Linked DNA regions of Caenorhabditis elegans. The protein of the gene in region 1 purifies or fractionates together with the protein of each later gene. This does not show direct contact. Each region holds a gene or a part of one and is shown on either strand. Other genes may lie near its edges.

What was found.
Region 2: the proteins of par-1 (region 1) and par-2 purify together in Caenorhabditis elegans (affinity purification with western blotting; 3 studies listed by BioGRID, with this or other methods). This does not show direct contact.

What each region holds. Positions count from the first base shown.
Region 1 is NC_003283.11:14,123,526-14,128,634, forward strand, and holds the start of par-1 (Serine/threonine-protein kinase par-1), read right to left. Parts: upstream 3,014-5,109; coding exon 2,790-3,013; exon of another isoform or gene 2,731-2,789; intron 2,719-2,730; coding exon 2,586-2,718; intron 273-2,585; coding exon 1-272. UniProt on the Caenorhabditis elegans protein: Required for cytoplasmic partitioning and asymmetric cell division in early embryogenesis. Phosphorylates and restricts the asymmetry effector mex-5 (and possibly also mex-6) to the anterior cytoplasm of the zygote.
Region 2 is NC_003281.10:1,079,462-1,084,543, reverse strand, and holds the start of par-2 (RING-type domain-containing protein), read right to left. Parts: upstream 3,150-5,082; 5' UTR 3,136-3,149; coding exon 3,025-3,135; intron 2,912-3,024; coding exon 2,828-2,911; intron 1,551-2,827; coding exon 1,413-1,550; intron 483-1,412; coding exon 411-482; intron 208-410; coding exon 83-207; intron 1-82. Other genes in the region: kbp-4 (KNL (kinetochore null) Binding Protein), read right to left, coding at 3,286-3,389, 3,435-3,624; Ras-related protein Rab-18, read left to right, coding at 4,063-4,139, 4,202-4,257, 4,333-4,586, 4,638-4,862.

The DNA.
Region 1 (5,109 bases):
CGAAATTTGGCTCTTGCTTCTTTCTCTTTCATTCTTCCGTGTGCAACCAAATAATCAAATACTTCACCACCGGATGCATATTCGAGTACTAAATACAGTGTCTGTTCAGTTTCCATCACTTGATATAATTTCACAATATTCGGATGATCCAATTGTTTCATAATTTTCACTTCTCGGAACAATTTTTGAAGACTCGATGGGTTCAGAGCAGTCTTGTCGATAATTTTTATAGCGACTTCATGTCCGGTTATCACGTGCTTTGCGAGTTTTACCTGCAAAAATAATTAATTAAATGGTCATATATCTAAGATTTATTTTTGTCAGGCTGTTTCGTATTTCCGACTGGGAAAAAAAAAGATTTTTAATAAAAAGTTACGGTGCACGGTCTCCAAGGTCCGGACACGACTTAAAATGTTCTGAACAAAAGAGTGTACTCCTTTAAAGGGTACTGTAGTTGTGATTCCCTGTTTTTTGTGCAATGTTTTGCAAATTTTCACAATATGTCTATCATTTTTTCGAAGTTTATATTTCTTTCATGACTTTTATATGATTTTGGGTTTTCGAAAAATAAATTTTAAGCGTAAAAAAATGAAACCGAGATTTTTTTTTCTGAAATTTTCTCTCGTTTCTCAAAAAAAATATATAAAAAAGTTAAATTACTTCTCAAAAAGGAAATATCATTAACTATATATAAAAAAATACAGTTCGTCTGTCCGGAGTTTGTAGTCTATGTAGTCTTTGGAGTCTGTGACGTCACGCCCAAATTTCAGTGAGAATAGTGGGCGTGGCACCCTTCGTGGTGAGACCCATCGTGTTGAGACCCTACGTGGTGAGACCCTTCGTGGTGAGACCCTTCGTGGTGAGACCCATCGTGGTGAGACCCTTCGTGGTGAGACCCAAAATGTTGGCGTGAAATTCAAATTTTAAGTGAAAAAAATTTTGGCGGGAAATTCAAATTTTAAGTGAAAAAAATTTTGGCGGGAAATTCAAATTTTCAGTAAAAAAAATTTTGGCGGGAAATTCAAATTTTCAGTGAAAAAAATTTTAGCAGGAAATTCAAATTTTCAGTTAAAAAAATTTTGGCGGGAAATTCAATCAGTGAAAAAAATTTTGGCGGGAAATTCAAATTTTCAGTGAAAAAAATTTTGGCGGGAAATTCAAATTTTCAGTGAAAAAATTTTGGCGGGAAATTCAAATTTTCAGTGAAAAAAATTTTAGCAGGAAATTCAAATTTTCAGTAAAAAAAATTTTGGCGGGAAATTCAATCAGTGAAAAAAATTTTGGCAGGAAATTCAAATTTTCAGTAAAAAAAATTTTGGCGGGAAATTCAAATTTTCAGTGAAAAAAATTTTTGGCGGGAAATTCAAATTTTCAGTGAAAAAATTTTTGGCGGGAAATTCAAATTTTCAGTGAAAAAATTTTTGGCGGGAAATTCAAATTTTCAGTGAAAAAATTTTTGGCGGGAAATTCAAATTTTCAGTGAAAAAAATTTTAGCGGGAAATTCAAATTTTCAGTGAAAAAATTTTTGGCGGGAAATTCAAATTTTCTGAGAAACTTTTTGTTAGCTTAAGTACCACCTGGAACTGGCGAGACCCATCGTGGTGGGACCTTTAAAAATATGGGCGGGAGCTTCAAAATTTATGAGAAAAGAAATTTTGGCGGGAATTCAAATTTCCAAGAAAAATTTTGGCGGGAAATTCAAATTTTCTGAGAAAAAGATTTTGACGGGAAATTCAAATTTTCTGAGGAAAACATTTGGCGGGAAATTCAAATTTTGGTTCTGGAATCAATTTTTTGTTTCAGCACCTTCTGGAAGTTTCAAGAAAATTCTAGAATGTTCTAGAATCATCTGGAAAATTCAAAAAAGTTCTGAAATGCTCTACAACCTCCTATAACTGTAGGAGTTTTTATTTGTTTCGTCACATCTATATTCAAAGAACTTACTATTAGTAGTTAATTATTCAGACTTCTCCAGTTAAGGAAAGTTATTAACTTATTGAAAAACTGTAACTCTGTGGAATTTTTTCGGGGGAGGGGGACAGCTCGCCACGCCAACAGTGAGAAAAATAGTGTGGTGCGCGGACCTCGAATGATGTCGGCGGCTGATATTACCTGGGGTACCGCTTTTTGCCTTTTCCCCGTGAGTGAACGAGAAAAAGGCGGGGACTATTTTGGCGTACACGCAACGCAGTTTTATAATTTTGAGTGTAGAAAAATCAGAACATTCTAACTGTCTCTTTGAATTTTCTGAATCGAATACCATGGAAGAAGAAAATGCGATTTAATCGATGAAGTTTCAACTTTTTTAATGATACATTTTTGAATGATTAAAAGGACATCTATGTATTATACATTTTAAACTCCGCCAGTCGTTGGCCGCGCCGGAGGCGCGGTCATCGACTGGTTTTAATAAATAAAATTTTTAAAAAATTTGGAAAACAGAAAATTTGCCAAAAACCGGGAGTTTGTAACTACAGTAATCCTTAAAGGCGCTCGGTCGTGTCGAGACCGGCTACAGTATGTTTCAAGCTCTAATTTTTTGATAACTATTTTTTTTCGAAATTTCCAATCATCAAGTGCTCACCTTTGCAAAATTTCCCTTTCCAATAGTCTTCAATAGCTTATACTTTCCAACGTGTACATCCTGATCGTTGCGTCGTGCTGCCGATCGACTTGACATACCCGATTGTCCAGTAGATCGTGCATGTGATGAAGAGCTGGAAAAATTTTTATTGAAAACTGGTGGACTGGGGCTTTATTTTAATTTTAAATGTGAACTAAAATTAACTTTTTTCGGTTATGTGTGACATGATCTCCATCAGGTGACACTTTCACCGTTCGCCGTTTCCCAGATGAAGTTAGTGTGGGAGCCATCGGAGCTGTAGTGACCACTTCAGACACTTTTCGCTTCGGGATCAGAGATTCCTCCTCTTCCGGAATAGGCGTCACAGATGAACTACTTGGCTGGCACATAAATCTAGCGAGTAACGACGAGTATGCCGCATTGAACATATCGAATTAGGTCAAACGGACGCGTAAGAGCCCTGGGGCTCCCCGAAATGGAGCAAAGCGTGGAGGACGGACACACTGGAAAAAACGAGGAGAGCGCCGGCAGTAGAAGAGGAGCAAGCGAGCAAGAAGAAGAAGATGGGCGGCCTTTCTCCATACACATCCATCCATCCATCCATCCACACTTTGGAGAAGAGACACAAATTGCATCCATGTCTCTCTCTATCTGTCTGTATTCCTCTTGAAAAAAGTGTGAGCAAAAGGAGAAAAAAACTAAGAGGGAATATGTGTCCCCTTCTCTTTCTATTGCTCCCATCACATCGGAATTTCTCCAAAAAACCCTCCCCGCCGACCGATAAATGCCCCCACAAAGTGCTGCTCCAAGTGCTACATAAAATCGTGTCCCCCCCCCCCCCGCCATGCCTCTTCGTTTTTTCTAATTTCCCTTCGCGGACCCCCGTTTTTTTGTGGCTTTGATGGACGGGGCTCGTTGAATTTCTGTGTTTAAATTTTCATTCGATGCTGACTGCTTGCGGGGCCATCCAACGTCATCTCGTTGTGCTTGCAATTCTTCATTTTGAGTGAAGACGTCAGCACAGAGGGGAAGAAATGACGACTTTTACAGCCGATTTAATGAAAAAAAAAAACTCGAAAAATAGCGCTTCGGAAACTTTTTTTTTTCATTTGAGACGCGTTGTTCCAATAGAAAAGGAAGTTCCAGCCCCTCAGTTAGAAAAAATTGTTTTTCAAAAAGAAAACCGTTAAACTGCCTTTTTTGGATATAAAATCAAAGGTCAACCGAATCTAGAAACGTACTAATTATATTCGGCCACTTTGCCCCATTTAGTGGCTACGTTCATCATATTGCCCGTACCTCGTAGAACACAAAAAAAGTAAGGCGAACTCAGGCGCCGGACATAAAATGTAAAATCTGATGTTCAACAAGAACAACGATGGTCTTCTTCTATACTACAAGCTGCTATGATGAATCATGGAAAATTTCTTGCAGCACGACCAACGAAAAATTGAGGGGGCGATGAGTCATATTCAAGAAGAGAAGCAGCCGGAAAAAATATTTTGAAACAAGATAGAAACCTGGTCAATTCATATTCCGGAAAAAAGGTCCGAGGCTGTTGAGATGGATAATATGCAGAATGCCGTGAAGATGTGGAAGGTGGTGAATATGAATATGGATGATCGTCACAGCACAAATCATCGAGATCCAGTGCAAATGCGTACGATTTCTTCGTCATCTTAACAGTTCTTGAATCTTGAATCGCGAACAATAATTGAATAAAATAGTGTCGCACGTGAATGTGTAAGGTGATCCAGCAGCTTCTGAGCAGGTGTGTCAACCAGTCTGCACTGTCAGTCAGTTCAGTACAAAAATGAGTCAGTTCTTCAATTCTCTCAGTCGAGGCGCTTGTCGTTTTCTCACAACGTCTGCGTGTCCACCTCTCCTATTACTGACTCTCTTTCCGATAAGTCAATAATAAAAATTGAATAGATTGGGGGTGGAGGAGGTAGAACCGAATAGAATAGGACAACACACCAGGTGCACCGAGACGACGAAGATGGAGTTGAAAAAAAGAAGTTCGCGTCTCACTTTTCTTCTTTATAATCGTACTAACCGAGAAACTCATCACAAACTCTCGGATTGACGTGGCACTATTAAATAGGTTGAGAACTAAGAGGGTGGAGGAAACATGAAAATGTACACCAAAGAGCATCATTACAAAAGCAATGAATAGGGTTGTGCCAGTTTTTGGTTGTTAGTCAATTAGATTCCAGCTTACAGGAGCTCCAATAGCTTATCGATTGAAATGGTTCAAAGTCTATGAATCACATCCGGCGGGCCGTCAAAAATTGACTCCGTCATGTCTGTGAAGTAGTGATAAAGTTTCTGTTTTTGTGTGCCTATTGACTCATTTTTGACAGAAATTTGAAACATGGGATAGGTTGGAACTTTACAGTTTAACAGGGTGAGTTATTCTCATGGGTAAAGCATTTCGAAATTTTTTTGAAATGTTTTTATTCATTTTCAAAAAGTGGCAATCTACTTTTGGTAATCGGCCACAAAATTCTGCGAATTCTAAATT
Region 2 (5,082 bases), on another chromosome or scaffold:
CTGAAATTCAGCGATTTTTCCATATTTTTAGCTGAAATTTCCAGATTTTCAGCCTTTTTTCAGCTCTTTTCCAGCCATCTACCTCGAGCAAATCGTTGGGCCCGCAATTGAGAAGAATAAGCGTCGTTTAGACCGTTGTGACAGGCTTCTCGTCATTTTTTGAGCCGGAATTTCCTCCGAAATTGGTGGTGTTGGCGCTTTTTGGAGCTGAAAATAGTGAAAAATCCGGGTTTTTAGGGGGTAAAAATTGGGAAAATCGGGGGTTTTTAAGCTTTAAAAAAAGTGGAAAACCACGATTTTTCAACTGAAAATGGTGAAAAAACCCGACTTTTGGGGTCAAAAACACCTAATTTTCATGATTTTTTCACTCAAAAACCCTGAAAATTCGCATTTTCCTGCAAAAACTCAACCTTTTCCTCACAAATGAACAAATCGTCGTAGCTGCTCTCGATATTCTCCTGGTTTTTCAATTTTCGGACCATCTGAAACGAAAATTCGTTGAATGTTTTGGTATTTTTCTGCGAAAAAATGCAAAAATTTGAGATTTTAGCTAGAAAATTGGGTTTTTGAGCTAAAAATTGCAAAAATTTTGGATTTTTAACTGAAAAATCGGGATTTTGAGATTAAAACTGGGTTTTCAAGGTAAAAATTGCAAAAAATTGATATTTTTGCAAGAAAATCGCAATTTTTTTTGACTAAAATTAAGTTTTTCGGCGAAAAAATGCAAAAATTTGGGATTTTTAGCTGGAAAATCGGGATTTTGAGATTAAAATTGAGTTTTTCTGCGAAAAATGCGAAAAATAGCTTCAAAATCAAAATTTTCAGGGCTTCCAACAGATTTTTACCCTGAAAATGGAGAATTTTAACCCAAAAATTCATAATTTTTTAGGTTTTCCTATGAAAAAGTTTATTTTTAGGTCAAAATTCCGGTTTTTCAGTGTAAAAACCAACGAAAATCAAGAAATTTTAGATGTAAAAGTCAACATTTTTCTGAATTTTCGGCAAGATTTTCAAGGAAAAATCGGATTTTTGACCGAAAATGCATAATTTATAAGTTGAAAAATGTATTTTTGTGGTTTTTTTGGCTGAAAAATATCAAGTTTTCCACGGGAAAATGTGATTTTTAAGTCAAAATCTCGGCCTTTAAGGCTAAAAACTTTCGAAAATTGAATTTTAAGCCAAAACTATGCTTTTTATGGCTGAAAATGCAATTTTTAGTCACAAAATTCAAAATTTTGAGGAAAAAATCGGGTTTTTAAGCGTATTTTTGTAGTTTTTGCCGTGAAAAATCGTTTTTTCGGACTAAAATTAGAGTTTTTTGGCTGACAAATGCGATTTTAAGGTAAAAATCCACGGTTTTCCGGGGTAAAAACTGTCGAAAAATCCGAATTTCGCATCAAAATCCGTCGTACATTATCAAGTGTAATGCTGGGAATCATCGCTGCAAATGGTCCAACGTCGAGTTTACAGATTACACAGGCTCTCGTATCACGTGTATGTCGTTCGATGCACGGCTCACAGTACGAGTGCCCACATGTTACCATTACGGGCTGAAAATTTGGAAAAATTGGCTGAAAATTGTAAAAATTAGGGTAGAAATGGGGTTTTTCGGCTGAAAATCGAAAAAATCGGCGGAAAACTGGGATTTTTGACATAAAAATTGGAAAAATCCGGGAAAATTGATGGTTTTTGGGCTAAAAATCGGAAAACTCCGCTGAAAAACTGGGGTTTCTTGAGCTAAAAATCTGGGAAAATGGGTGATTTTTGAGATGAAAAACGTAAAAAAACGGGAGAAAACTGTGTAGTTTTTGGGCTAAAAATTGTAAAAATCCTGAGAAACCGAGATTTTTGGGTTAAAAATCGGGAAAATCCTGGGAAAAATCGGTGATTTTTGAGCTAAAAATTGTGTAAAAATCGGCAGAAATCGGTGTGATTTTTGGGTTAAAATTGTAAAAATCCGGAAAAATTTGGATTTTTCGGCTGAAAATTGAAAAAAATCTTAAAATATTGAAGTTTTTTGAGCAAAAAATTGGAAAAATCTGGAAAAATGGGAGGTTTTTGAGCTGAAAATCGAAAAAAATCGGTTATTTTTGAGCTAAAATCAGAAAAATCCGAAAAAAATCGGTTATTTTTGAGCTAAAATCAGAAAAATCCGAAAAAATTGGGGTTTTTTGGGCTAAAAATTGTAAAAGTCCGGAAAAATTGTGGGTTTCGAGCTAAAAATCGTTAAAATATGGGAAAAACTGGAGTTTTTTGGCTAAAAACCGAAAAAATCCGGCAAAATTGGGGTTTTTAGGGCTAAAAATCGGAAAAATCCAAAATTTTAAGCTAAAATCTGTAAAAATCCGAGAAAAACTGGGGTTTCTGAGCTGAAAATCGAAAAAAATCTGAAAAATTGTGGTTTTTAAGCTAAAAACTGTAAAAATCCGAGAAAAACTGGGGTTTTTGTGCTGAAAATCTTAAAAATCCAAAGTTTTTAGTCTAAAAATCGTAAAAATCGGCAAAAAACTGTAAAAATCCGAGAAAATCTGTGATTATTATGCTAAAAATCGGAAAAAATGCGGTTTTCTAGCTAAAAATCCCCAAAAAATCGTGATTTTTGGCTGAAAATCTGGAAAAATGGGCAAAAACAAGACAATTTTCGGAATTTCAAGTTTTTATGAGAAAATTTCGCATTTTTCCCCGATTTTTCACATTTATAGCTGGAAAAAGACGAAAATTGCACATTTTTGGGTCAAAAATGGGTAAAATTAAGCGATTTTTAATGGAAAATCCGCCATTTTTCACGCAATTTTTCTTGAAATCCTCGGTATTTCCATGTTCTAACCCTGTCGAAAAGCTGATCACACAGTGGACAGAGGAGTTCCGAGCTCAAATCGCGTCGAACCGGCTGTTGAACGTCGTTGATGCACTGAAAATTGTGTTTTTAGGCGGTTTCCAGGGCGAAAAACACGATTTTCTGCTTATTTTCCAGCAAAAAATGCGTTTTTTCGATTTTTTTCGCCGCTAAAAATCCGATTTTACCGCTGTAGAAGTAGTTGCGTTGGACTCCAGCAGACGTGGCGATGAGTTGGCAATCGATAAATCGCTCTGCGAAGCCCGTATTTGAGCGGATGAAGTGTCTAAATCCGTCATTTTTGGGCTGAAAATGAGGATTTTGAGCCTGAAAAATCATTGAAAAACGCTGAAAAATAAGTATAAAATGCATGAAAAGTACAGAAAACTGGGAAAAACAACGGGGTTAAGGAATACAGAACTTTATATGTACAGAAATAATGAAAATTGTTAGAAAATTTCCTCGGCGACCTTCTTCAGCTCATCCTGAAACTCTTTTTGAAGAGAAAACGCGAATTCCTTGACTTTATACTGCTCCTGGAGGTCTTCGAGTTCTAGGAAATGGGAAAATTATTGTGAAAATTCACTAAATTTCTCACGTTTTTCCACCAATTTTCGCTTCTCGAGCGTCTCCTCCAGCTTCCGATCGGCCTCGTCCATTTCCTTGTTAATTATCTGCAGTTTGGAGGCGCAAACTTCTTGGAGATCCGAAAAATCTTGGGTTTTCGGCAGTTTTTCGACTTTTACCGCGAGAACTTCGTTGATCATGTCGTCGATTGATTTTTGCATTTTTTTTGATTGCTGAAAACTGATAAAAATTTGGAAAAATTATAAAAAACAAAAAAAATAAAAATAAAAAACACGAAAAACGTTTAAAAATTAAAAAAACAAAAAAACAAATTTCAAACAAATCCATTTTCGCGCCATCGGGTCTCACCACGACAGGCACTTGGCATCGTGCCAAGTGCAAGTGCGCTCCATCGCTCTCTTTTCCGAAAGAGCGTCTCGTGCAACGACATCTGACATTTTCGAAGGGAAATTTATTGATTTTTCGGCAAATTTTTGGGTTTTAAGGTGAAAAATCTATTTAAAAGTGTTAAAAAATTAACTTAAAATGGGGAAAATACCCTGAAAAATCGAGTTTTTTATCTTTTATCCTTAAAAACGTAAATTTCCCAACAAAAAAAAAATTATCCTGCATTTTCCCTTCGTTTTTACGAATTCCAGATGTCCGACGACAGTTCAAGCCCCCTCACAACTCTCAAAATCCTGATTATCGGCGAAAGTGGCGTAGGGAAGTCGAGGTGAGGGGTTTTCTCGCCCAAAAAAAATTTAAAAAAATCAATTTAAATTCAAAAATTTTCAGCTTAATGCTACGATTCGTGGACGATGTCTTCGATCCTGAGCAGGCTGCAACGATAGGTTCGTGGAAATTCCAGGGATTTTTGGATTTTTTGATTTTTAGGCCAAAAAAACCCTAAATTTATTGTTTTTTAGGCGTGGATTTCCGCGTAACTTCAATGGCAATCGACGGAAATCGTGTAAAACTCGCAATTTGGGACACCGCCGGCCAGGAGAGGTTCCGTACCCTCACGCCGAGCTATTATCGTGGAGCACAGGGCGTAATTTGCGTGTATGACGTCACTAGCCGCAGCTCCTTCGAGAAATTGAATCATTGGATGCAAGAAGTCGATACTTATTGCACAAATGACAATATTATCAAGATGATGGTCGCGAACAAGATTGATATGGTGCGAAAAAGCCGATTTTGTTCGATTTTTGGCCTAAAAAATAATTTTCAGCCAAATCGAGTGGTAACCCGCGAGGAAGGCCTAAAATTCGCAAAACGCCACCGCACACTATTCATTGAAGCTTCTGCGAAGACTAAGGAGGGTGTACAGTGCACATTTGAGGAGCTTATCGAGAAAATCATTCAAACGCCCGACTTATGGGACAATGACCGCCCGTCTTTTCGGTTGGGACAACCGACGGGCTCCAGTGGTGGCGGCGGAATGTGTGGATGCTAGGAAATTCTCGCGGAAAATTCGTTCATTTTGACATAAAATCGATATTTTTACTGTAAAATTCATCAATTTTCACCTAAAATCCTGTTTTTTTCATGTAAATTGTCAAAATTTGACCTAAAATCCTGTTTTTTCCATGTAAAAACGTGAATTTCGGTTTAAAATCGCCAATTTTCCCTCAAAATCGCCGTTTTTTCCATATAAAAATGTCCAACTTTGGCTT